Linked DNA regions of Canis lupus familiaris. The protein of the gene in region 1 binds, or shares a complex with, the protein of each later gene. Links are inferred from orthologs where the notes say so. Each region holds a gene or a part of one and is shown in the gene's direction. Other genes may lie near its edges. The genes, in order: SGF29, TADA2A, KAT14, YEATS2, MBIP, KAT2A and TADA3.

What was found.
Region 2: SGF29 (region 1) and TADA2A share a complex: the UniProt entries of both Homo sapiens proteins name them as parts of the ADA2A-containing complex. The link is inferred for Canis lupus familiaris from reciprocal best matches to the Homo sapiens genes SGF29 and TADA2A.
Region 3: SGF29 (region 1) and KAT14 share a complex: the UniProt entries of both Homo sapiens proteins name them as parts of the ADA2A-containing complex. The link is inferred for Canis lupus familiaris from reciprocal best matches to the Homo sapiens genes SGF29 and KAT14.
Region 4: SGF29 (region 1) and YEATS2 share a complex: the UniProt entries of both Homo sapiens proteins name them as parts of the ADA2A-containing complex. The link is inferred for Canis lupus familiaris from reciprocal best matches to the Homo sapiens genes SGF29 and YEATS2.
Region 5: SGF29 (region 1) and MBIP share a complex: the UniProt entries of both Homo sapiens proteins name them as parts of the ADA2A-containing complex. The link is inferred for Canis lupus familiaris from reciprocal best matches to the Homo sapiens genes SGF29 and MBIP.
Region 6: SGF29 (region 1) and KAT2A share a complex: the UniProt entries of both Homo sapiens proteins name them as parts of the ADA2A-containing complex. The link is inferred for Canis lupus familiaris from reciprocal best matches to the Homo sapiens genes SGF29 and KAT2A.
Region 7: SGF29 (region 1) and TADA3 share a complex: the UniProt entries of both Homo sapiens proteins name them as parts of the ADA2A-containing complex. The link is inferred for Canis lupus familiaris from reciprocal best matches to the Homo sapiens genes SGF29 and TADA3.

The regions. Positions count from the first base shown.
Region 1 is NC_049227.1:18,345,519-18,348,540, reverse strand, and holds the end of SGF29 (SAGA-associated factor 29), read left to right. Parts: intron 1-744; coding exon 745-874; intron 875-951; coding exon 952-1,098; intron 1,099-1,292; coding exon 1,293-1,328; intron 1,329-1,414; coding exon 1,415-1,577; intron 1,578-2,319; coding exon 2,320-2,436; 3' UTR 2,437-2,522; downstream 2,523-3,022. Other genes in the region: SULT1A1 (sulfotransferase 1A1), read right to left, coding at 2,773-2,885, 3,011-3,022. UniProt on the Homo sapiens protein: Chromatin reader component of some histone acetyltransferase (HAT) SAGA-type complexes like the TFTC-HAT, ATAC or STAGA complexes.
Region 2 is NC_049230.1:37,195,765-37,199,264, forward strand, and holds part of TADA2A (transcriptional adapter 2-alpha), read left to right. Parts: intron 1-1,388; coding exon 1,389-1,499; intron 1,500-2,988; coding exon 2,989-3,060; intron 3,061-3,500. UniProt on the Homo sapiens protein: Component of the ATAC complex, a complex with histone acetyltransferase activity on histones H3 and H4. Required for the function of some acidic activation domains, which activate transcription from a distant site. Binds double-stranded DNA.
Region 3 is NC_049245.1:5,328,165-5,331,664, reverse strand, and holds part of KAT14 (cysteine-rich protein 2-binding protein), read left to right. Parts: intron 1-716; coding exon 717-853; intron 854-2,371; coding exon 2,372-2,547; intron 2,548-3,500. UniProt on the Homo sapiens protein: Component of the ATAC complex, a complex with histone acetyltransferase activity on histones H3 and H4. May function as a scaffold for the ATAC complex to promote ATAC complex stability. Has also weak histone acetyltransferase activity toward histone H4.
Region 4 is NC_049255.1:16,916,523-16,920,022, forward strand, and holds part of YEATS2 (YEATS domain-containing protein 2), read left to right. Parts: coding exon 1-83; intron 84-852; coding exon 853-1,011; intron 1,012-3,500. UniProt on the Homo sapiens protein: Chromatin reader component of the ATAC complex, a complex with histone acetyltransferase activity on histones H3 and H4. YEATS2 specifically recognizes and binds histone H3 crotonylated at 'Lys-27' (H3K27cr).
Region 5 is NC_049229.1:15,070,287-15,074,289, reverse strand, and holds the start of MBIP (MAP3K12-binding inhibitory protein 1), read left to right. Parts: upstream 1-1,203; 5' UTR 1,204-1,266; coding exon 1,267-1,395; intron 1,396-4,003. UniProt on the Homo sapiens protein: Inhibits the MAP3K12 activity to induce the activation of the JNK/SAPK pathway. Component of the ATAC complex, a complex with histone acetyltransferase activity on histones H3 and H4.
Region 6 is NC_049230.1:20,651,246-20,655,401, forward strand, and holds the start of KAT2A (histone acetyltransferase KAT2A), read left to right. Parts: upstream 1-1,356; 5' UTR 1,357-2,066; coding exon 2,067-2,603; intron 2,604-2,742; coding exon 2,743-2,866; intron 2,867-3,202; coding exon 3,203-3,348; intron 3,349-3,459; coding exon 3,460-3,549; intron 3,550-3,831; coding exon 3,832-4,013; intron 4,014-4,134; coding exon 4,135-4,156. Other genes in the region: HSPB9 (heat shock protein beta-9), read right to left, coding at 690-1,151. UniProt on the Homo sapiens protein: Protein lysine acyltransferase that can act as a acetyltransferase, glutaryltransferase, succinyltransferase or malonyltransferase, depending on the context.
Region 7 is NC_049241.1:8,529,778-8,533,277, forward strand, and holds part of TADA3 (transcriptional adapter 3), read left to right. Parts: intron 1-2,462; coding exon 2,463-2,648; intron 2,649-3,500. UniProt on the Homo sapiens protein: Functions as a component of the PCAF complex. The PCAF complex is capable of efficiently acetylating histones in a nucleosomal context. The PCAF complex could be considered as the human version of the yeast SAGA complex.

The DNA.
Region 1 (3,022 bases):
TGGGAGGGGTTGGAGGTCATTACCAGCGCTAAGAGGCAGGGGCTCTCAGTGACCCTCTACAGACTTGGAAGATTGTGCCCCGTCCCCTAAGGCTTCTCTCCCCCTTGTACCTGAGGCAGTAGCCTCCTTCCTGCTACCCTCCCCCACTCACACTTCTTGCTGCGGTAAGCAACCTGCTGCTTTGTGAGAACCATCCTTCAGATGGGAGTTTACAGAGGGTGTTGGCTTCCAAATCTGAACTTTTAGACTGCTGTGGCTCTCCCACCTCTCTTACCCTTTCAGTGAACCCACAGTAGGCAGGCTGCTTGCCTATCAAAACGTCACACTGCCAGTTGGCTTTGTGCAACTTTGAGTGTGTTGAGCCATGCCTGAGAAGGTCAGGAGACTGTCTACATTCTTTTTTTTATTGAATGACATCTACTCAGTAGAGGACTGACCTAACTGTACAGAGAACTTTATGAAATTTTCACTAACCAAGCAAACAGATGTGACCAGTACCTCAGAACCCTTCTTTTGCCCTCTTTGGTTCCTTCCCTGCAAGGGGATCTTGAGAGCAACATCTACCAGATCTGTGAGAGCAGATTGGGCCTCTGACGGCAAGCATCTGCTGGGGGGCCCTTGGTGGTAATTAAGGAGGTGGGCCCCAGGCTGAGCTCCACTGATGGCTCCGTGCACCGGTACAAACGAGGGTCCGGGGCAGGAGCCCCATCTCTGGGGCCTCAGGGGCGCGCTTCCTTCCTGCAGCGGCCAAGATCGCGGGCCTGTACAATGACTCGGAGCCCCCCCGGAAGACCATGCGCAGGGGGGTGCTGATGACGCTGCTGCAGCAGTCGGCCATGACCCTGCCCTTGTGGATCGGGAAACCTGGTGACAAGTGAGGGCAGGCCCGGGGTCAAGGGGCGGAGCTGACAGGAGGGAGGGGCTGGGACTAACCTCTCAGTTCATCCTCAGGCCCCCACCCCTCTGTGGGGCCATTCCAGCCTCTGGGGACTACGTGGCCAAACCTGGAGACAAGGTGGCTGCCCGGGTCAAGGCCGTGGATGGGGATGAGCAGTGGATCCTGGCTGAGGTGGTCAGTTACAGCCACGCCACCAACAAGTAAGTGGACACCCGGCCCTCCGTGGACTCTCCCATCTGTAGGCTGGGAGAAGAGCCCCCCACCCCACTCCAGGGTCCCTGTGGGGACAGGGATGATGTGTGACTCCAGCTCCCTGGGATGCTTCCCCTCCTCATCGCTCTCCGGTTCGGACCGTGCATCTCCCTGCATCCTCTGTTTTCTCTTTGTTCTCCAGGTATGAGGTAGATGACATTGATGAAGAAGGCAAAGAGTGAGTGTTGGGCAGGGAGGGACCATGGAAGCTGCTGGGAAGGAGCCTCCCACCTGGCTGTGGGTTGATCTAAGCCCCCCTTCCAGGAGACATACCCTGAGCCGGCGGCGCATCATCCCTCTGCCCCAGTGGAAAGCCAACCCAGAGACAGACCCCGAAGCCTTATTTCAGAAGGAGCAGCTCGTGCTGGCCCTGTATCCTCAGACCACCTGCTTCTACCGTGCCCTGATCCACACGCCCCCACAACGGGTAAGGTAACCCCTGCAGGGGAGACAGACCATGACACCAGGACTGGGCTGACCAGATGGTCTTGGGGTCACCTTCCACTTTTTCCCCTCCTGTCCTCATCTGACAGCCCCTCTGAGCTAAGAGAGTCCTGCAAGTTTCTCCCTCTCTCCTGCTTACTCTGCCCCATAGGGGCCCTCAAGCCCTGTCCCCTAAGGCAGTGCCAGCTAATCCTCAGAGTCCTAGCAAACCCCGAGTGGAATGGAACCAGTATATCCTCTAGTCTCACCCCACTTTTGCACTGAGACGAGCAGCCCTGAGGTGGGAAGCACTGTGCCCAGGACCTGTCTTCCCTGCCTTGACTCATCCACCACTGGCCTTTCTTCATCTGAGGCCATGCTCCCTTGTGCTGGTGACCCAACACCTGATGGCAGCTTCAAGGCTGCTCTGCTTGCTTCCTCCAGGATCCCTGCCTGCTGCCCTCGGTGTTTTCCCTGATCTCCTTCTTAGAGGGTCCCCAAAAGGCACCAGACTCTCCATGTAGAATCCCCCCAACGTAGACCGCGAATCTTCCTCCTCCCTGCTCTTTGTCCCCTGGCACTTTGTTGCCGAGAATAGGGTTGTGTCATAGCAGGAACTAAATTCTGAGTGAAGATGGGGACAGGAGAGGCTGGGAGCCCGTGTACCAGAGGTTTCTGTCAGTCTGGGCTGGGGGGCCTTGCCTGGGGGTCTCTGACTAGCCCCTCCTGTCTGCCCCCTGCCGCAGCCCCAGGATGACTATTCAGTCCTGTTTGAAGACACCTCCTATGCAGATGGTTACTCCCCTCCCCTCAATGTGGCCCAGAGGTACGTGGTGGCTTGTAAGGAGCCCAAGAAAAAGTGAAGTGGGCTGGCAGACTCAAGATCTCCTGCCACTCCCCCAGGGGAATGCAACAAAAGATTGTGGCAAATAAATATTGTTCCCCTTTGCCCACGTCTCCTCGGTTTTGTTTTTCCAGGCCCTTCTGCCCCTCCCCATACCAGGGCAGGTTGGGGAATTGGAGAGCTGGAGGGAGGGAAGATAGCTTCATTTGATCCCAGGGGGAATTCCTTCCAGCTCAGGTTTGCTTTTTGCTTGCATTAAAGGCTCTCAGTGTAATACCAATGGAATTTTATTTTTGAAGCTGGGGGCTGGCTGTGTCAGAGCACGGGGCCTTTGGGTGCCTCCTGGGGGCACTGCTCACAGCTGTGTGCGGAAGCTGAGGCCACAACCCTCCATCTTCTTGGCATAGTCGGCATCAAAGCGCTCATTCTGGGCCACAGTGAAGGTGGTCTTCCAGTCCCCCGAGATGCCTGTGGGTGGAGGAGAAGGTGGCTGCAGGTCCCGGCTGCAGAGCAGGCCCCAGATGGCCCAGGCCAACTCTTGCCTCCGTTTTCATGTTTGCCTCCCCAGATGGCCATCCTGCATGGGTACTCACCTTTCCTCATGA
Region 2 (3,500 bases), on another chromosome or scaffold:
TTTGCTTTTGGTTGTGGGGGGTTTTTTGGTAGTGAAAATAATCAGTGGCTGCCCATGAAATCAGCACCTGAACTTTGTGGATAAGAATCTCTCTTTCAAGGGAAGAGATTCAGCTGAAAAAAGGACTTTATTTATTTATTTATTTATTAAAGATTGTTTTTATTTATTTCTGAGAATACACAGAGAGGAGAGAGAGAAGCAGAGACACAGGCAGAGGAAGAAGCAGGCACCATGCAAGGAGCCTGACATGGGACTCGATTCTGGGTCTCCAGGATCAGGCCCTGGGCCAAAGGCAGTGCTAAACTACTTGAGCCACCTGGGCTGCCCAAGAGGACTTAATTTAAATAACTATCATAATGGAAAGCATGTATCTATACTCTAGAAGTGAGCAGAACTAGCTTAGTTACTGATTAACTCACCTAATAAGTTTCAGCTTAGTTCATCTGAATGAAATGACCAAGTAGCAGTTCCTGGCTACTCCAACCTACCACTTATTGTTGGTAGGTTTTACTCCCCATCTTCTTTGCTGATAGTACTTTTTATTAGGAATGTGGTCATTAGGGCAGCCCAGGTGGCTCAGCAGTTTAGCGCCACCTTCAGTCCAGGGCCTAATCCTGGAGACCCAGGATCAAGTCCCACATTGGGCTCCCTGCATGGAGCCTGCTTCTCCGTCTGCCTGCCTCTCTCTCTCTCTTATGAATAAACAAATAAAATCTTAAAAAAAAGTGGGGTGGGGGGATGTGGTCATTAGTGATCCTCAGAGTTACTGACTGTGGCTACCCTGTATATATGACCATTTACTTGGATGATAGTTATGAAAATATAATTTCATTAGTAGTAAATTAAGTTGTGGTACTTAGAGGAAGGCAAAACGACCCTTATAGAGAGTGAAGAAATAAATGTCTCACTTGAGGATGTGTTGGTAAGGAGATTTCTAGTAGATATGGAAGAGATCACACATTTTTTATAGGCTAGTCTGCCTCTTCTAGATGGATTATTGTGTCTGCATTTCCCTTGTTTTCCTGCAGAGGTTAATACCAGAAATTTTGCCCAACATTGTTCCTAAAAATGCATGATCTACCTTTGTCTTTCCCATTACTACCAGCAGTCCCTGCCCCTGTACAAATTAAGAGACTGAGGTGTGGAGGTCACAGGCTGTTCAGTAATGCAGATGATCTTCAGTTCTCCAGGAATAACAATATCCCTATGTGATAGTCACTGTGATGCTGTTATCTTTATGATTAGTGTTTTGCATTGTTGGCTTTCCTGTTTGCTTCCTGTCATGGGTAAATTAGTCAGGTTAGGAATAGTGTCTGTCCTTCCATTTAATGAGAATGTAGAGATTTTTATTTTTTCTATGGCATGGTCGTGTTTTATTTTTTCTGTAGTAATGGAACGACGGTATCCCAAGGAAGTCCAAGACCTTTACGAAACAATGAGGCGATTTGCAAGGATAGTGGGGCCAGTGGAGCACGACAAGTTCATTGAAAGCCATGCACGTAGGTGCTTTTTAACCCTTGTGCAAATATTTGTGTTTGTGTGTGTTGATATAAATAGACAAAATGGTATGTTTTAGGTGAAGTTGTATAAATAAATAAATGGATATTTTTGTCTTCTCTTCCCCTTTATTACCTTGAACTAAATTTGGGACTTCAGGGGTGGAAGAGAAGGAGTTAAAAAGCCCAGTAGCTTTCCTTTTTCTCAGCTAAGCAGTAGTTTAGTAGTTTCTCCCCTCACTTTTTATTATGGAAGTTTTCAAATATATACAAAGGTAGAGATAATAGTGTAATGAACCCCCATGTAACTATCACCCAGCTCCGCAATTAATACATGACCAATCCACTTTCATTTTTATCACCCCCTCTTCTCTCACCCTCAACTGGATTATTTTGAAGCAAATCCCAGGCTTTGGGGCTTGAAATCAAGAGTCCATGCTCAACTGACTCAGCCAGCCAGGCACCCCAGTGCTTCTGCCATTTTTTTTTTTGCCTGTCTGAGAGAATTCATTTGATTTTTCACTATAAAAAATTAAAGTTTGTTAAGGCCATAAGGCTTACATTTTAAAATAATTTGGACTAAGTGGCTTAGTCTATACCTTTTCATCACAAGATTTGTGTATTTGACCCTCAAATTTAGTCCTGGGGAAAATGCTTTACCAGGGCTCTTGTCCTGTTCTCATCATGCAAATATTTCTTGCATGGCATTGTAGGCATTTATCTGAGCCAGGTCGGTTGTCCTCATCAAACACCCTGTTTGGTTGGCATTCTTTTTGTGATTTGTACTAGGTGACTGATCTTTTACTTCCTGCCCCAGTTTGTGCCATCCCTGGTTTATGTGTCACTCTAAAGAACTACACCCAATGGATTGTCCAGGCTCTTCCTTCATCCTCTGTTTCAAAGCACTCAAATTTGAATGTTCTATCACATAATAACCCAAGTAGTTGCAACCTGATCTGTGCACTCAGAGGAAGAAATCTTTGGTCTATGGAAAACAATGCTCTTTTGTTCCTATAGGAGAAAAGCTGTCAAGAAACTATCTAGGACTTGAGCACAGAGCTTTTGTCTTTTGCTTGCAAAAGGACCACATCAAGTAATAGCAGAGACAGGTTTTATAAAAGAATTTGGTTACGTGGATAAAACTGTTATTAGAGGATAAATAGAGCAGGGAAACTTAGTTGTTTAAGAAAATTATATTTGTTACTTCTGTAGCTAAATGAACTCAGCCAGTTTACTGTATGTTTTCTGGGAGACAATTCCAGCTGCTTTTTCCAGTTGGAGATGGCAGCGAAAAGATGGCTAGAGTAGATTTTTCTCAGTTCTTGAGTAAAATTTCTAATGAGATGTCACTAACATAATAGGATTCCTCACATGGAATTGCCCTGTCTTTTGTATAAGGCAGTATTACTGAAAATACTCAACAGCACCAGTGCTTACTGATGATGATTTTGTTTTTCCAATTTTTCTCCTTCATTCTTTTTGGGATAAACAGTGGAATTTGAACTCCGAAGGGAAATCAAGAGGCTCCAGGAATACAGGACAGCAGGCATCACCAATTTTTGTAGTAAGTGTGCTTATTAAGCTACACATTGTTTGGGGGGCAAGTCTCTTCTAAACACAAAGAGGAAGTCTCTGTTTGAAGTGATGTGGGTTTTTTTAAAACAAGCTTTCCCTTTTGGGAATGAGTGGTCTTTCCGGTAAAGACTCATCTGTTTAATTCTTATAAATTCCATTATATGGATCATCTCAGGTAAAATAAGAGTGATGACAAAAGAGAGGTGCTCCTTTAGATTTGAGAATCTGCTGTGCCCCCCCCAAAAAAAGGATTTTGTGTTCTAATTTTTAGTCTCAGTCTTTTAAAATTTTGTGATGCATGGTCTGATCATTTGTATTTTTTTTTTAAGATTTATTTATTTTTTTATTCAGAGAGAGAGAGAGAGGCAGAGACACAGGCAGAGGGAGAAGCAGGCTCCATGCAGGAAACCCGATGTGGGACTCAATCCC
Region 3 (3,500 bases), on another chromosome or scaffold:
TTTAATCTTCCATCTGGGCTCTTTGCTATAAAACCTTAATTGCACATGTTCTGTTACTACATGGTGAGGGCCCTGGAGCAGCACTCCCTAGTGCTGGCATCTCTAGTCAGGCTTCCAGGGTGAAGCCCACCTGTTCTATCAGGACACCCACCTAAGGAACACAGAGCCACCTCCTCATTCAACCCCTGGTAGGGCCTCTCTGCTTTCATGATTTGTCATAGGAATGATAGTCCTACACCTGTTAAATTTACTCATCGGAATAGAGGCATTTTTTAATAAATCTGTATACAGGAGCAGCTGTAATTGGTCCCTGCTGCTCTGTGGATAACAGAATACTCCTGCAGCAGAACCCACGTTTTTAGTGTGTTAATATCTGATGACTGTGGATTGGAGATGTTATTAGGTAGAATGAAACTTACAGAAACCGTAAATCCAGTGCTCGGTCTTGAATTTCACTCACTTAAATGACTTAAGATCTTTAACTTAAAAATTTTTTTAATTATTTCAATTTTAAACTGTGAGAACCAAGATTGGTTTTTCATATCTAATTTTATGTGGTACCTGTGAGATTTGTATTGAAATCTGAGCGTTCCGAATAAGTAACACAAAAAGGCCTACTTTCTGACACATTAGAATATGTACATACTAATTCTCTGAAATCAAACCAATCCTTTCAGTGACTTTATCTTGACATAACCAGCGTTTCTTTCTCCTAGACTGCCTTGCCATCCAGGAAAGGATTTCGGCACCAGACCACTAGGTTTCTATATCGTTTGGTGGGATCGGAAGATATGGCTGTGGACCAGAGTATTGTCAGCCCTTACACCTCTCGGATCTTGAAACCTTATATCAGGTATGTGGAAAAGAGCTGTGATGTTGAGTGTGTTGTGAGGAATGGTATTTGTGGCTTCTGTGCCCTGGTTTCCCATTGGAGCAAGTCTAGACCAACCCCTGTGAGCAGGCATTGACACAGACTGAGTCTGTGCTCTGTGTTCAGTCTTTTGTTTGCTTCAACTATACGTTTTTTGCAGAAATGATGGTCCTTTGAAAGAAATATAAAAAGCAGGGTGCCTGGGTGGCTTAGTCGGTTAAGCATCTGCCTTTGGTTCAGGTCAAGATCCCAGAGTCCTGGGATCAAGCCCCATATCAGGCACCACACTCAGCAGGGAGTCTGTTTGGGATTCTCTCCCTCTGCCCCTCACCCTGGCTGTGCTCTCTCCCTCACTCACTCTCTCTCAAATAAAATCTTTTCTTTTTTTTTTTTAAGATCTTATTTATTTATTTATTTATGAGTGAGACATGGAGAGAGGCAGAGACATAGGTGGAGGGAGAAGCAGGCTCTCTGCTGGGAGCCTGATGTGGGACTCGATCCCAGGACCCCAGGATCATGCCCTGAGCTGAAGGCAGATGCTCAACCACTGAGCCACCAAGGCGTCCCTCAAATAAAATCTTTAAAAATAAAAATAAAAATAGAAGAAATTAAAAAGCAAGGATAAGTTAACTCCATTAGACTTCATTATGAGTATTATACTCATTATTGAGTTTCTTTAAATTTTAAAGTTATATATATTCAGTAGTCTGTGAAATGAAAAAAAAAAAATGGGAGAGACATCTCAGTTGGGCTCATATTTGAGGGTGATGATGAGTCTCATTGTCTAGGCAGTGCTGTGGAAGCTAAGCTAACTAGAGAGGTCCCTAGTGCTGTCTTGAGAAAGTTGTGTTGTCTTATTGACCATGCTTTCTCTAGATCACCTGATCCTCTTTGCCCAGCACCGCCATCCCTGGCAGAGCCTGTGAGAGGCCGCATGCAAGCCTGCCCCAGCAGCCCCGTTGGACCTGCACCCTCCCTCCTCAGGCTCTTTCCTGGGCCAGAGCACGCAGGCTGGAATCAGGCTGCTGTGTGTTCCCTCATTCTGTCCATTAAGGCTCACCAGCACAAGTAGGGTTCCAGAGTACAGGTACAGAGTGCTTTGGTCTGATGCATGTTAATAGAGAGAATTTTATTTTTAAGGTTTTATTTGAGATAGAAAAGAGTGAGAGAGAACATAAGCAGGGAGCAGGGGGAAGGAGAAGCAGAGTCCCTACTGAGCAGGAAGCTGGATGCAGAGCTCTGTCTCAGGACCCTGGAATTATGACTTGGGCCGAAGGCAGATGTGTAATTGACTGAGCAACCCAGGCACCCCTAACAGAGCGAATTTTAAATTTCATTCCAGAAAACTGTCAGGCTATCAAGTTACCAAGCTGTCTGCCATAGGAAGTAGCACAAGTTAGCTTAAAATTTTCAGGCAGAATAGTTTATGTGAATAACTTGGCTAGGAATAATAACGGATATTTTTCTTACTTGAATTTGTTGTTTTCTGTGATCCTGGAGGCGTGACTATGAAACAAAGCCACCCAAACTGCAGCTCCTGTCACAGATTCGTTCCCACCTGCACAGGAGTGACCCTCACTGGATGCCGGAAGCCGAGGCACCTCTTGATTACTGTTATGTCCGGCCAAATCACATCCCAACGATAAACTCTATGTGTCAGGAGTTTTTTTGGCCTGGTATGTTCCCCTTCGAAACTAAGCAAATCAGTGTTTTGTGTAGTTCACTTTATTGATTTTTTTTTTAATTAATGTATGTCGTGTGATTCTAAAACCTTTACTCATGATTTCATTTAGTTTGTCTCTACTAAGATAGAAATAATAAAATATAAACACGTTTTTTTTTTCTGAGATCAAAAAGAAGCCAGCAATTAAAGTAATAAATAGTGTTTTTGTATGTTTCTCTTCCCTGTCTCTGCTTCCAGGATAAAAGTTTCAACCTGTTTTGCTTCTACATAAGTTTAGATACCAAATAATGTCTACCAGTGATACACTGACTGGTAGCTTGGGCATGTCTGGACACTTTTGATTTTTTGCTTAATAATTCTGTGATTTTGTTTATTTAGCTATTCCTTGGGGAGAGTGTTAGTACAGCCAAAAGGCATTTTTAAAAAGCCAAATACCCCAATTGCAGACTTTGAAAATAAGAGTAAACCCAGTGTGATTTGTCATTTTATCAGCCTCAATATGTTGTCTCTCTGAAGACCCAAGCCACCAAGTAAAGGAATGAATGCATTTTCGTCACTACATATAAACATGTTCTTTGTGGATCTGCCTTACTGCGCTGCTTTGAAACGCAAGAGAAATATTACATGTCTTCTAGATGTTAGATAAGATATCATCGGGATTAGTGCTGTGTCATCTTTCTTGTCTGATAGTCAGGTAATAGTGCACGTGGTGGTAGAGTTGTGCTCATTCTTTTAGGAGTGGTATGGGGGCCAAAAGGAACATTCCAGAAGCATCTGCTACTTCTGACCTTACTCTGGGTGCCTCCAACATTATGCATACAATTATTTTGTGTTTATCCCCTTTATTGTAAAATGTAGCATTTGTACAAAAGAGCTTGTCAGCTGTATATGTATAAGGTGAAGAACAGGACAGTATGGGCTCTCGGGGTCTTTGCTCCCACCCTT
Region 4 (3,500 bases), on another chromosome or scaffold:
GAGGAGCCCAGAGCCCCGCGGGCCCTGGAGGGATATCCCAGCACCTGACTTACACATCTTACATCCTGAAGCAGACTCCTCAGGTCTGATCATTCGTGACTGGTATCTTTCAAATCCTTTAGTTATTAACAACTTCCTTTAATTATACTGGATTTGTTTTTACATCTCTGGGATTGGGAGTCAATACTAACACTATAGCCACATGGAATCTTTATTATTTTGAGCTTGTTTTGAGAGGAGATAGAAGTTCAGAAAGACTTAAGTACGAGATCTCTCTGCTAAGCCAATGCTAGAATTTGGATTTAAACTCATAGCTTTCTGACTCAATTTTTGCTACACTGTTGCCTCCCAAATCCATGAGTTAATGAATAGTATTAAGAGACAGTTGAAAATTTTCTCTTGCAAGGGAGTAACCAGAGGAATACTATCAAGTTTTGGTATTTGGAGTTGAATTGGATTCATGATTAAGAATAAGTTTCTGCCTTCTTTCCCCTAGTTGCTTTTAAATCTTGACTCCTCTCTTAAGGAAGGTCGTGGAATTCTGGTCTAGATGTTCTTAATGAGAAGGATGGGTAGTTACCAGTCTGAATAATTCAGATTTAAAGACTAGGTTGTAGAACTTGACTGTCCAGCAGCCTGCTCCATAACTACTGTGCAGAGTTTCAGAAGTGGGGCTAGCTAGCTGTTGGTAGTGGAACTGAGGGCAGAGCTGTTCTTTTTAGTTATTTTGGCTGAGTTGCAGAATTGAAGGTGAGCATCGTAGCTTGTAACATGGGACCTTGTGATTTATAGGGTCAGGGCAAGTCATTTTCACTTAACAAATTACTGAGTAGATCTTTGTTTCTAACTTAGGGTACATTTTTAGTTGGTCAGCCATCACCGCAGACATCTGGAAAACAGCTGACTACTGGATCAGTGGTCCAGGGAACCCTGGGAGTCAGCACATCTTCTGCACAAGGACAACAGACGTTAAAAGTCATCTCTGGACAGAAAACCACTTTGTTTACCCAGGTAAATAGGCAAACACACACACATACCCCAAATATAGGATATTATGGCATTTATTTAAACATTTACAGCTTCTTTCTTTCCACAAAGAAATTAAAGATGCGAGATTAAAGATGAGAAAATAAACAATTAAATAGTATAAAAAAATAAGAATAAAATCTTGAGATTTGAGAAAACTATGAGTTAGAAATGAGAAGATAAAGCCAGAGTTATTAGATACGCAGTTATGTCTTTTATAATTACTAATACTTGCCAAAGCAAATCAAAAGCATGATCAGTTACAAAATTCACACTATTTGTGAGATGCAAAAGAAATACACACATAATACTTTCTTAAAAAAACAAAATTTTCTTGCTACTTCATTCTAAAACTTCACTGGAGAAACTTCATATAAGAGATTCTGAATAGTATAATAGATAATTATAGCTACAATATCCATATACAGTTGGCCCTTGAACAATGTGGGGTTTAGAGGTGCCAACCTCTCAGGCAGTGGGAAATTCCCATGTAACTCTACTTCCCCCACTAGTAATAGCCTACTGTTGACCAGGAGCCCTGCCGATAACACAAATAGTCAATTAACACACATTTTGTACGTTATATGTATCATATACTCTATTCTGACAAAAAGTAGCTAGAGAAAAGAAAATGTTATTAAATAATAAGGAAGAGGAAATATTTACAGAACTATACTGTATTTACTTTTAAAAAGAAACAAAAACAACCCATAGGGTACCTGACTGGCTCAGTCAGTAGAGTTTGTGACTCTTGATACCAGGGTTGTGAGTTCAAGCCCTACATTGGGCATGGAGTCTACTTAAAATAACAATTAAAAAGAAAAGACCCATGTATAAGTGGACCTGTGTAGTTCAAACCCCGTGTTGTTCAAGGGCCAGCTGTAAAAAGTAAATGTTGTAGGGGACTTGGTACATGTTTCTACAGCATTCTTTAGTGTGTAAGCCAAAGAATAGCGACAGGGCATTTTAGCTGGTGAGGGATGTCAGAATCACCTGCAGGAGAATCTATAGCTAGATCTCAAAAAGTTGACCAAATGAAGCAAACAAGGTATAGAAGGATAGGGGCAGTGTGATACCATTTATCAAAAAATCATTCATTTTCTCTGTGTGTAGATCAATAGTTCTCAAAGCATGGAATGTGGATATTGGATTTTCGTCAAATATTTTTTCTGTGTTTTATTGAGAAGATCATGTGTTTTTTTCTTTTTTTGTTGTGGTGAATTACATTAATTTTTAAAATGTTAAAATGGGTGCCTGGCTGGCTCAGTTGGTGCAGCATGTGACTTTTGATCTCAGGGTCATGAATTAGAGCCTTACATTGGGCATAGAGATTAATTAAAAAACATTTTTAAAAAGGTGTTAAACTAGCCCTGTACTCCTGGAATAAACCCTACCTCGTTGTGACATATTATCCTGTTTTAATGTGTTGTTGGGTTTCATTTGATAAAACTTTGTTTAGAATTTCTGTGAGAGTTATTGGCTAGTGGTTTTCTTCATAATTCTTGTCTGATTTTGATATCAGAGTAATGCTGGCCTCCTAAAATGAGTTAGCAACTTTTCTTTCCTGTTCAGTTTTTCATGAGATTTTCGGTAGAATTGGTATTATTTCTTCCGTGACTTTTTAAAAAAAGATTTTATTTATTTATTCATGAAAGACACAGAGAAAGAGAGAGACATAGGCAGAGGGAGAAGCAGGCTCCTTGCAGAGTCTGAACTGGGACTCAGTTCTAGAACTCTGGGATCATGCCTTGAGCAAAAGGCAGTGGCTCAACTACTGAGACACCCAGGTGTCCCCCTTAACTGTTTAGAGTACACCAGTGAAGCCATAATGACCTGGAGTCTTGTTAATTGGGAAGGTTTTTTAACTACAATTTAAATTTATTTAATAGATACAGGACTATTCAGGTTATTTGTTTTGTCTTGAGGGAGGTTTGGTAAGTTATATCTGTAAAGGAATGTGTCCATTTCATCTAAGTGGTTGAATTTACTAGACTAAAATTGTTCATAATTGTCCTTTATTATCCTTTTAATGTTTGTAAAATCTTTAATGATGGCCCCATTTTCTTTTCTTTTCTTAGAGAAAGAGTGCCCAAGTGGGGATTGGGGTGTTGTGGGGACAGAGAGAGAGAATCTTAAGCAGGCTCTATACCCAGCATGGGGCCTGCTGCAGGGCTCGATCTCATGATCCTGAGATCATGACCTGAGCTGAAATCAACAGTCAGATGCTTAACCAACTGAGCTACCCAGGCGCACCCCCCTTTCATTCTTGATTATGATAATTAAGCATCTTCTCTTTTCTTTCTTAATCATCAGTCTTTTCATATTAGTAGTATTTGGTTTCTTTGAGTGCTAATTTCCCTTTGGTCGGATGCGCTTAGTACTTAAACAGATATGAGGCCCCAAAATTCTTTAGGCAGTTCTTTTAAATCTTAGCTTATTTCTTCTTACCTGCTTATGGTTGCAGCCAGTGTGGT
Region 5 (4,003 bases), on another chromosome or scaffold:
GTATATCTTGCTGTGAACAAGGGAACAGACAAGATTTCTCAAGATCCTGTCAAGCCTGGTGATCTTTGGAAATGAAAGCCTAATTAAGAGGCTCCCTAGGGACAGGTCAAAGGCGTTCTTTTATCCCTACTGACCCCATTCCAGTTCTCTGATGCCTATTCTGCTCCTTTTCATTCAGCCTACTCTAAAACTGAAGAATACATATTGTGCAAGTTTCTACCTTTGCTTCCTCTACTGTAAATGCATTAGACTATTAGAATTAAGAATTTTAAATACCTTGTCCCTAATCTCTGAACTGACGGGTTTTGTTTTTTAATAGAGCTTAACATTTAAAATTCTTCTAACCTTTGTTCTTTTCTTCAATTGAACATAAAGCTTTTAAATGTTGGACTATAAAAGTACTTCAAATATCTTTTAATAAATCTATCTGATGAGTAATACGCTGTCAAATTTCAATTCGCATTTATTTTTTCTAATTTCAAAGATTGTGCTGCATGCAATTACTTATTTGAATTAAACTGTTAGAATCGTTTTGAGTGTCTCACTTCTTTGAAAGGTTTAGGTGAGTGTCTCTACAGTATCACTCAGAGAATAGCAACTGATGCACGTTTTAAAACTTGACATAATTATTTTGCAGATTTAAAGTAATTAATGTCCTTTCTTCCATTGATAGTACAGCAGGAACAGTAGAGCATTTTATTGTTCTTTTATAGCCTCTGCTCCCTCACATGAAAAATTAGTCACGTTAATTTGTGTAAGTTTTTAAACTTTGCAGAAGTGAAAATGTTCTAAATACAAGCGTACGTGAAAGAGTTTTCCAGGGTGTAGAGGTGTGGGCCCTGCTGCACCCCCGAACAGCAATCTTTGTCCAGACCACTCCACAGCGCCATGTTAAAAGCTAAAATTTTAACTTCTAAAATTCTGACGTTTAGGTCTAAGTCTCCTCTTCAACACTCATAAGCAACACCTAAAAACACAAGACAGGCTTCAGACGCTAACGTTCCCTAGACCACCGCCCCAATCACCGTCCCAAATTCCGTACGCAGCTCCGCCAGGTCGGCAATTACCCGCTCCGGCTCCTTGGCGTGACGCTCCAGCTGCACCTGATTGGCGCACCGGCTTGTCAGTCACGAGGGTCCTCGAAGGCCCGGGCCGGACGAGACGCTGTGTTTTTACGTCATTTACCGGCGACGCAAGCGGGCGGGCGAGGGGGGCGGGTGTTGTGAGCACAGCTCGGTGGTGGCGGGGGTAGCCTGCGAAGGTGTCATGGCTGCTGCCGTTGAGCTTAGCCTCTCGAGCAGTGGTGACAGGAGTCCGGAACGGAGCTGCAGCCCCAATCTCTCCCAAGAGGTGCTCCGCGAAATCTTTCGCTCACTGCATAGCCTGGTGGGACAAGTGAGTGGTGGTCTGTGGGAGCAGAGCAGGGGGTTGGGAACTCTCCGGCCCCTCCCCCCTTTTTTCCTCTAGCGGAGGCGGGGGGCTGCTTAGGGCTGCCGGGGACCGGGACTGAGTACTGAGGCCGGCGGAGGAGCCTGAGCCTAGCTGCGGTCGGAGCGAGGAAGGCCGTACGGGCTGGCAATTCTCCCCAAGAGTGAGAGGATAGTGTAAGTGAAAAACCTGGCTCCCAGAAGAACATGCTTGGAGAGAGCGAAGGCGTAAAAAGCTTTGTGGGTTTGGAGGGTGCCTGGCGCTCAGCATCCCCTATCCTTCAGTGAATTTGTGATAGAAATTGATAGAAGTAACGGCCTGAGAGTTTTGGCAAAGCTCTCTCCGCTTTTTTTTTGGGGGGGGGGGGGGGTTGATTTGCTTTTAGGAGTCACTTGGTTTTCTTTCTTTTTTTTTTTTTCCTTCTGGTTGTTACATGTGCATCTCTTACCCTTTCATATGGGGAGGAAAAATGAAAGGAATTAATGTAAATACTTCTTGCATAAAATTCGATGAGTTATCCATGATTGATAGAGTTTGCATCAGAACTGTTTGTCATTTAATTATTAGCTAATTTAACTGACTGATGAATAGCTTCTGCAGAAATGTCATAATAAATTGGGTTTAAATAAAAGTACTCCTTACACTATTCAATCAAGTCAACTGTTTCATGAAATAAAATGCAAAGCATATTACAAATGATAAACAACTTGAAAATAAGTTTGTTTGCTTTTAAAAAGGAAATCTTTTGTATCTTAGACGGAATATTTTTTTACTCTAAAAGTTTGTTATGGGGTTGGTATTAGTGCATGTAGTAGGCACAGCAAACATTTATGTCGAGGATAATGTTTATGAAAACAACACCTGTCTAGTTTGTAAAAAGTTATTTTTAAAAGCCGTGAGTGGATGGAGAATTAATTTTTTAAAAGGTTATTTCAGTATTTTTAAAAATCCTAATATGTTTGTCCTTAGAAAAAGCATTACTCTAAGTTAAACATTTAATTTGGTCTAACGGAACAATTATTAACAGAATCTGCTAAAAGTTGTAACTGTTGAGCTCAGTTGTTTGCCGCCAACTTATTAAAATTTTTTAAAGACTTGGGGACATTAACATTTTAGTCTTATCACCCAAGACCTGTAATGGTTAAAAGTCTGAGAACGTTTTCTGTCTTGGATATTGGAATTTTAAGGTTTATTTATATTTTAATGTCACGATGAAAAAAGTTTATGCTTACCTGTAATTTACAGTTTTATTTTCAGTGGTGATAAATTTTTTAAAGTAACATTAAGAAATAATTTAAACATTTCTTTTGAAATATTTTTGCATACTGAATTTTTAAAACTCATTTACAGATTTTAAACATTCGCGTATTTTGTGATTAAAGTTTACTTATGTCACCTGTCAAAAATGTTGAGAGTACATATTTGGAAAGTTTACATGACACATTGAAGGGACCATCTATACAGGTGTCAAAAAATTAAATCATTGTCTCATCAATTAAATACTATTTTGATATTAGTCTTTATATTTTGAGATGTATTGTTTAAAGGGAAGAATGAAAGCCACAATATTATAAAATTGCCCCTGGAGGAAATCACTATGTACTTTTGCAACAAGTTTATAGGATATTTTTTTTAATGTAAGTTTCAAAAAAAAAAAAAGTAAGTTTCAATATGCCTAGTTTCATTCTGCATAGTATCATTATATTGTTGGCTCTCCTCAATAGGAAACATAAAATTGAATGTTAAAAAGTATCCCAGATTTCAAATTTACTTATTTTAACCTTATTGCTTGCCACAGCATGGCTCATTCTACCAAGTTGAAGCATTATTTATTGTTAGCTTGGAGTTTCATACTAATTTTTTATGGAAAATGCTTACTTAAATAGTCCATATTAATGTCACACCAATACATTTTTGAGTGAATGCTTTACGTTTACAAGTTATAAAGGGTAAAAATGCATCGAATTCGTATTACTAATAGGGAATTTGTTGAATAAATAGTTGGATATATTATGATAATTTTAAAGTTAATTTGTATCATTATGTAGTTTTCTTTAAAAAAACCAAGTGTCTTTAATTGTGCTTGAAAGGCTTACATAATTATGCTGAATTGAAAGGAGAATATGATCCCAACATTAAGATTTATTTTATTTGTTTATTTTCTTTAGGAAATTTGATGCTTTACTTTAGTTGAGGATTTGTCTGTGTTATCCCAAAACTCTATTTATAAATTTGTTAGGAACTGTAGATCTCTTAGAGGACTGTAGAAGTACAGTAATTAAATAATATAAACTAAGATTAATGCAGTAATCTTAATGTAAAACTTTAGTTAATATAATCTAATCTCTGCCAGTGTAGCCTATCCAAAATTTCTTATTTCTTTATAGTTGTCTGATACAGACTTTAAATGTTTCTTGTCTCATGGAAAAGGTGGTAAATTTTTGTCATACAGTATTCATTAAGTATACTGCCTTTTTTGGGTAACTTTGGATTTCTGGTTCTTTGTACAGTGATTCATCTTTTTGTTTTATTAGAATCACAACTCATAACATCAGTATTTGAACTAATGTAATAC
Region 6 (4,156 bases), on another chromosome or scaffold:
TTATGGTAACCAAGAGAAAGAGGCCCTTACTGGTACCAGCTGTAAGGGGGTGGTGGTGGTGAGAGTGACCTAGAGCTGAATCTCCCCAAGTTTGAAATTGAGGGCTTGTATTAGCCTTGCCCCCACCCCCCTCCAGATTATATTGGGGTGATGTGCAGTTTGTATTTGAAAATAGTTGGTCTCTGAAACAACAGAAACCACCTCTTGGGGTTTTTTGGTTAGTCTGTACCTTGTGAAGGACTGGGTCTTCTCATCCTCTTCCCAGGTGATCTCTGGAACCTTTGCCTGGTCTTCAGACCAAGAGACCACCCCACATCAAGTCCAGTCTTTGTATCTATCTGATCTCTGGTCTGCCGGGGCCCTCTGCTGGTTGTGGAGCCTGGTGCCCCCGCTGCCATCCTGGCCCTCTGCTGCTCCCTGCTGGAGCTGCTGCTGTCATTTGCCCAGCACAGGGCTGTTGGTCTACTGAGCCCCGGACCCAGCTCCTCCCGGGGCCACAGAGGCCTGATTCTTGTTGGACCACCACCGTAAAGTGCTTTTCCTGCCTCCCTAAGCCCTCCACTGGCCCTCTCTCTACCTCCATTATGCCTCCACCTTTGATCCCAACCCCAAGAAAAGACCACAGAACACCAAGGCTGCTGCTGCACACTAGAATTGTTGTTTACTGGGTCAGGGTAGGTTGACCTTTCTTAGAGCCATGGCCTCGGAGTCTCGGGGATGGGCCTTTTTGGGCTTCCTGGGAAGGCAGCGCCCTGGCACTGGCCTCCGACGCACAGCTGGCCGGAGGGGGTCATGCTGCAGGTCACGGCAGTGGGATCCAGGTCCGGTGGTAGTTGGATCTGCCGATGCACCCTCTGCGCCACACGGTAGCCAGCCCCATCTGGGCTGCAGCCCTCCAGTTGCCTCTGGCCGGTCACCATCAGACATTGGCCGTCCACTTGCACCACCAGCTCCTCCGGGGCAAAGCCACAGGCATCCACCTTCATCTGGAAGCCATTCTCTGCATGGAAGTTGTTCTGCGCAGTCACCACATCGTCCCTCAGGAGCCGTACGGGCAGTGTGGCCACCTGGTTCTGTTGGGCAAGGGCCACGCTGGGACAGCGGGATGCCACCTGGCTCCCGCTGGGGAGACCGCTACCAACCCGCTGCATCCGACTGAGCAACTGCTGTCCGAGGGCGAGGGCGCGAGGCCCTGGGCGTGGCTCTGGGCGCTCGGTGGCGGCGGCGGCGTGGGGGGGGGGGGGGGCGGGGGTGCGGCTGCGCGCCCTGGGGAGAGGCCCTGGGGCGGCCTGGCTCCTCCGCTCCTCCGCGGCCGCCTGCTACGCCAGTCCGGTCTCCGCAGGCCTGGTGGTCACCGCCCTGGCGCGCCACTGCTGCTCTCATCCTGGCTCCCGGGGCGGTGACCCACCAGCGCAGACCAGCCGACCCTGTAGCGCTCACCAGCGCAGGGCGGAGGCGAGATGGAGCCGGGCTCTTGCCCTTCCCAGAATCAGGCCTGAGGACAAGAAGGGCTGTCCCCTGAACCGAGCCCGGGGGTGTGACCGTGAGGGTCTTCCATCCTGACCGCGCACGGTCTTGTGACACGGGGCTTAGGAGGTGACCGCGACTTCCTGGTTTCCTTCATTCGTCAGACTCTGGGTCTACTGTGGCCGCCTGAGGGCTGGGCTCTGGGACAGAAGGAAGACGCGAACCCTGCCTTCAGGCGCTCACGGCTTTTATGATAATCCTTTATTGCTGAAATATAACATAATAGAAGAAGCGCACCAGAGAGTACCACTGAATTATCCCCCAGAGAGCACCCCCATGTAGCCACCTCCACGGGGCAAGAAATGGAAGTGTTGCTTCTTAATCTCCGCTGTGGCTGCACTTCCGTGTCCGCAGACGTGTGGGACAGGGACAGGGGGTGGAGGGGCGGAAGCCAACACGACCCCGGGCAGCATCTGTGATTCCCCTCAACAGGAGCCTGTTTTCTCAGATGCTCCTCCAAGTCCCCAAGAAAACGGCAATCCTCGCTATCCCATAAGACTTCAAAGAGATTAGAAGTGAGGAGGAGACAATCTAGGGTAATGGCTCAGGCTTCACTTGCTTGTCTGGGGCCAAGAGGCAGGACAGAAAAGTCTGGAAGCCAGAAACGGAGGGAGCGGTCGTGGAAGACTACAACTCCCATCATGCTCCGGCGCAGCGACGCCTGCGCACCGAGCGCCGGTTGCCCATGCGGCCCTAGGGCTAGGAGCGCCGCGCCGCGCTCCGCTGCGGGGGAGGCCATGGCGGAACCTTCCCAGGCCTCGACCCCGGCTCCGGCCACGCAGCCCCGTCCCCTTCAGTCTCCAGCCCCTGCCCCACCTCCGACTCCTGCCCCCAGCCCGGCTTCAGCCCCGACTCCGGCTCCCACTCCGGCACCAGCCCCCGCGCCAGTTGCAGCCCCAGCCGGCAGCACAGGGACTGGGGGTCCCGGGGTAGGAAGTGGGGGGACCGGGAGCGGAGGGGATCCGGCTCGACCTGGCCTGAGCCAGCAGCAGCGCGCCAGCCAGAGGAAGGCGCAAGTCCGGGGGCTGCCGCGCGCCAAGAAGCTTGAGAAGCTAGGGGTCTTCTCGGCTTGCAAGGTGGGGGCGGGGCCTGGGGTGAGAAGGGGCGGGGCTTGGGGCATCCCAGGGCTCCGGTGGGAATGGGGGCAAATCTGTGGCTGGGGATCGGCTCCCCGTGCCCGGTTACAGGGCTATTGACCGAGTTTTCTAACGCCAGGCCAATGAAACCTGCAAGTGTAATGGCTGGAAAAACCCCAAGCCCCCCACTGCACCCCGCATGGACCTGCAGCAGCCAGCTGCCAACCTGAGCGAGCTGTGCCGCAGCTGTGAGCACCCCTTGGGTAAGGCAGGTAGTGCCCTTGGAGCTGGGGCGGGGGCAGGTCCTGGGGCCTGCTTGGACAGGATAATTTAAGTGCCACTGAGTTTTATCTTTGGAACCAAAAATGCCTCCGAAGGAGGGATTGGGTTGGGAACATGTATCCCTCCCAAGGGAAGAGAAAGGAAATTTGCCAGCCCGGAATAGACAGGGTCCACCCAAGGCTGACATAGTAGCAGTCAGTCTCACTACTGGTCATGCTGTTTGGAGCTACCAAGGTTGTAAATTGGTGATGAAGAGTGAGAGAGAGCTCTCGTCATCTATCCTTTCTTTCCAATCCTACCACCTTTCCTTCTTGCAGCTGACCACGTGTCCCACCTGGAGAATGTGTCAGAAGATGAGATTAACCGGCTGCTGGGTATGGTGGTAGACGTGGAGAACCTGTTCATGTCTGTTCACAAAGAGGAGGACACGGACACTAAGCAGGTCTATTTCTACCTCTTCAAGGTGAGCTTCATCCAAGTGAGTGTGAATGAGCAAAGGAGGTGGGGCTGGACTGGGGAGTTTGCAGCTCTGAGCTCCACTGACCTCTACTCCTCCCTCTTCCTCTTCCTCCAGCTCCTGCGGAAATGCATCCTGCAGATGACCCGGCCAGTGGTGGAGGGCTCCCTGGGCAGTCCCCCATTTGAGAAGCCTAATATTGAGCAGGTGGGATGAGGAAGGTAGTAAGAGAATTGGGGGCATCTTGGAGGAGTGAGGAGCCTGTGTTCCCCATCTTCCTCAAGCTGAGAACAAGGGACAGGTTCAGAGAAGGGAGGATGTTCAAGATGGGCATGGGGCTGGGAAGGGGGCACAATTTTTCTTCACAGAGAGCCCGAGTGAGAGGGGAGCTTTAGCCTGCCCTCAGGAAGCACCAGATTTTGTATAAGAAACCCCTGCTGGCCGCTCACGTCTCCTTCCTGGTCTTGTTCCCTACCCACCCCTTCTCAGGGTGTGCTGAACTTTGTGCAGTATAAGTTTAGTCACCTGGCTCCTCGGGAGCGGCAGACGATGTTTGAACTCTCAAAGATGTTCCTGCTCTGCCTTAACTACTGGAAGCTTGAGACTCCTGCCCAATTTCGGCAGCGGTCTCAGGCTGAGGATGTGGCTACTTACAAGGTCAATTATACCAGGTAGGGCTGGCCAAGGCCAGCGGGGGGTGGGGGAGGGGGTAGGGGTGGGGGTGCTTGTGCTCGTAAGCCCAACCTGGGTTTAGTGTCTCCATTCTCCATCCTACCTCCCCTCTGCCCGCAGATGGCTCTGCTACTGCCACGTA
Region 7 (3,500 bases), on another chromosome or scaffold:
GTGAAGGCAGGTGCTCAACCACTGAGCCACCCAGGCATCCCCCAATGAAAGTTTTAAATATGCAGAAAGACTCAGCATTTCTGCATGCATAGACTTTTTTTTGTTGTTTTAAGATTTTATTTATTCATGAGAGACACAGAGAGAAGCAGAGACGTAGGCAGGGGGAGAAGCAGACTCCATGCAAAGAGCCCGATGTGGGACTCGATCCCGGCACCCCGGGATCACACCCTGAGCCAAAAGCAGACACTCAGGCACTGAACCACCCAGGCGTCCCAGCACGAATAGACTTAAGTACAGGGTTGTTTATCATAGTGCTTTCCATATGGTAAATGACCTAAATGTACATCTGAAGGGGATTGGTTGGATAGAGTTGTGACTCCATATGATGAAATAACTTGTAACTATTAATCATCTTAGAGAAACATAGTTAATTGATGTGAAAATCTGTAAACAATAGAGTGCTAAAAGGAGAACATGTCAGTTGAGCATACTAGGGTTTGATCCTGTTTTTACTCAGCATATACTTAAATATGTGCACATTGGGAAAAAAACTAAAATAATGTGTAATAAAAGATTGGAGAGGGACGCCCAGGTGGCCCAGCGGTTTAGCGCCTGCCTTCAGCCCAGGGCATGATCCTGGAGTCCCGGGATTGAGTCCCACATTGGGCTCCATTCATGGATTCTGCCTATCCCTCTGCCTGTGTCTCTGCCTCTCTCTCTCTGTGTCTCTCATGAATAAATAAAATCTTAAAAAAAAAGAGAAAAGATTGGAGATAAGGTAACAAAATCTGAAGTATGTATGGTATATAAGGAATATATCATAAAATATATTTTTGTATATGTAACATTAATAGCAAAATAACTAATGTTTTTGATAGTAACATAAAAAGATAGTGGTTCTAAGTTGTTGGCATTATAGGTTTTTCTATATTCTTTGACAACGGCTATGTGTTGGCTTGTGTTTGAAACAAGACCAGATGTGTCTGTCTCTATATTTTTTCCAGCATATTGAACAATAATTGATATACATCCCTGTGTGAGTTTAAGGTGTACATGTACAAAACACTCACGTGGCCTGATTTACGTGTGTTGTGAAATGATTACCACAATGGGTTCAGCTAACATCTATCTCACATAGATACAAGAAGAAGAAAAAGAAAAAAAAATATTTCCCTTTGTGATGTGAATTCTTAGGATTTACACTTTTCATAACTTTCCCTATGTATCATACAGTAGTGTTAGGTACAGTCGTCATGTCGTATATGGTATTTTAGGACTTATCTCATAATTGGGAGTTTGTACCTTTTGATCACCTTCTTCCAGTTGTCCTCCCCCCATCCTCTGCTTCTGGTAGTGGAAGGTCTGCTCTCTTTTTCTATGAATTTGAGTTTTTTGTTTTTTGATTTTTTTTTTTTTTTTTTTTTTTTTTAGATTCCACATAGAAGTGAGATTGTATGGTATTTGTTATTCTCTCTCTGACTTATTTCACTTAGCATAATGCATTCAGAGTCCATCCATGTTGTCACAATTGGTAGGATTTCCTAGTTTTTCTAGTTTGAATAATCTTGTATATATACCACAATTTCTTTATCCATTTGCCCTTCAATGGACATCGAGGTTGCTTTTGTATCTTGACTATTATAAATAATGCTGTGAACATGGGGGTTCAGATATCTTCTCAAGTTAGTTATTTACATTTCCTTTATGCATATTCTCAGAATTGAAATGGCTTATCATATGGGAGTTCTGTTGTTAATTCTTTGAGGATCCTCCACATGGTGTTCCACAGTGACTGCACCAGTTTACCTTCCCCAACAGTGCAGGAGGGTTCCCTTTTCTCCAAATCCTCGCCAATATTTGTGATCTTGTCTTTTTGATGATGGCCATTCTAATAGGCCAGAAGTGATAACTTGTTGTGGTTTTAATTTGCATTTCTCTAATAACTAGGGATGTTGAGCATCTTTTCATATACCTGTTGGCCTTTTGTATATCTTCTTTGGGAAAATGTCTATTGAGAACCTTTGCCCAGTTTTTAATTGAGTGGGTTTACTGCTTTTGAGTTATAGGAGTTCTTTATATATAGTGGATATTAACTTCTCATCAGATACATCATTTGCAAATATTTTTTCCCATTCTGTAAGTTATCTTTCCACTTTGTTGATGATTTCTTTTGCTGTACAGAAGTAGTTTTTTGATGTAGTCCCACTTGTTTATTTTGTTGCTTGTGCTTTAGGTGTCACAGCCAAAGTCATTGCCAAGACCCATCGCATGTCAAGGAGCTTTATTCCTAGATTTTCTTCTAGGAGTTTCATGATTTCAGCCCTTAACATTTTCTCTATATTTTTATACCTAGATAGAGAGGGGGTACCCAAAGAGAAAAGAATGTGTTCACTAACCTTGGAACCTCTCAGGGGTCCCCCGTCTAAGGCGGCCCTTGAGCTCAGGATTCTCTTCCTCTGTAGTGTGCCACATACCAAGTCCCTTGAGAGCCGCATCAAGGAGGAGCTGATTGCCCAGGGCTTGTTGGAGTCTGAGGACCGCCCTGCAGAGGACTCAGAGGATGAAGTCCTTGCTGAGCTGCGCAAACGGCAGGCTGAGCTGAAGGCACTCAGTGCCCATAACCGTACCAAGAAGCATGACCTGCTGAGGTGAGTGTGGATGGGTTACATGGCCGGGCGGGGGTGGGGGGGGGTGCCTAGGGAGAAGGCCTGGGCCGCTGCCAGTCACCTTCTGGGGGTTTTATAACAGGTTTCCTAAACCTGGCAGGGTTTCCAAATCATCTAGAGAGCCTTTGAAAAAACATCATTGCCAGGCACCACAGACTCTAGGGCTCAGGCATCTGTGATGGATTTATTTACCTATTTGGAATTGTGGTGGAAAAAAAACATATAAAATTGGCTCTTTAAGCCATTTTTTAGCGTATAGTTCAGTGGTATTACTTATATTCACATTGTTGTGTGACTTATTTTTTATGCTTCTTTTCTTTTTCCCCCAACATACTTTTATGAAAATTTTCATAAACACAGAACATCTGAAGGAGCAGTACAATAAATACCAATATACTCTCTAGATTTATCAACTGTTAACAATTTTGTTGGACATCTGTGATTATTATTGGCCCTTCACTGAAATTGTCCAGTATTTTAGTATCCGTTATTTAGGCAATTGGTCACAATATCTTTCATTTTATATTGACTCCCATCCATCTTGCCCTGTGTTGGTCATGACAAAAGTATAGGTGACATCTGGAGGGAGATTATGGTAGTTGTTTGCCTTTCTGAGGGAAGGTAGAGAAGCAGCCTCATTGGCAAGCTATGTGTCTTCGCTTCACATAGCTCCAACAAGGCAGGACACACATGATTTGGCTGGTTCTGCCTGTCTCTTATACATTGTCCTGGGGGGTAGGAGGAGAGGCAGAGCAAAGGCTTGTGGTCTACAAATGAGCTTTGGTAAAGAGTTATACCATTAAAAAGTGAGGGAACTGCTGACAAGCTGCTAAG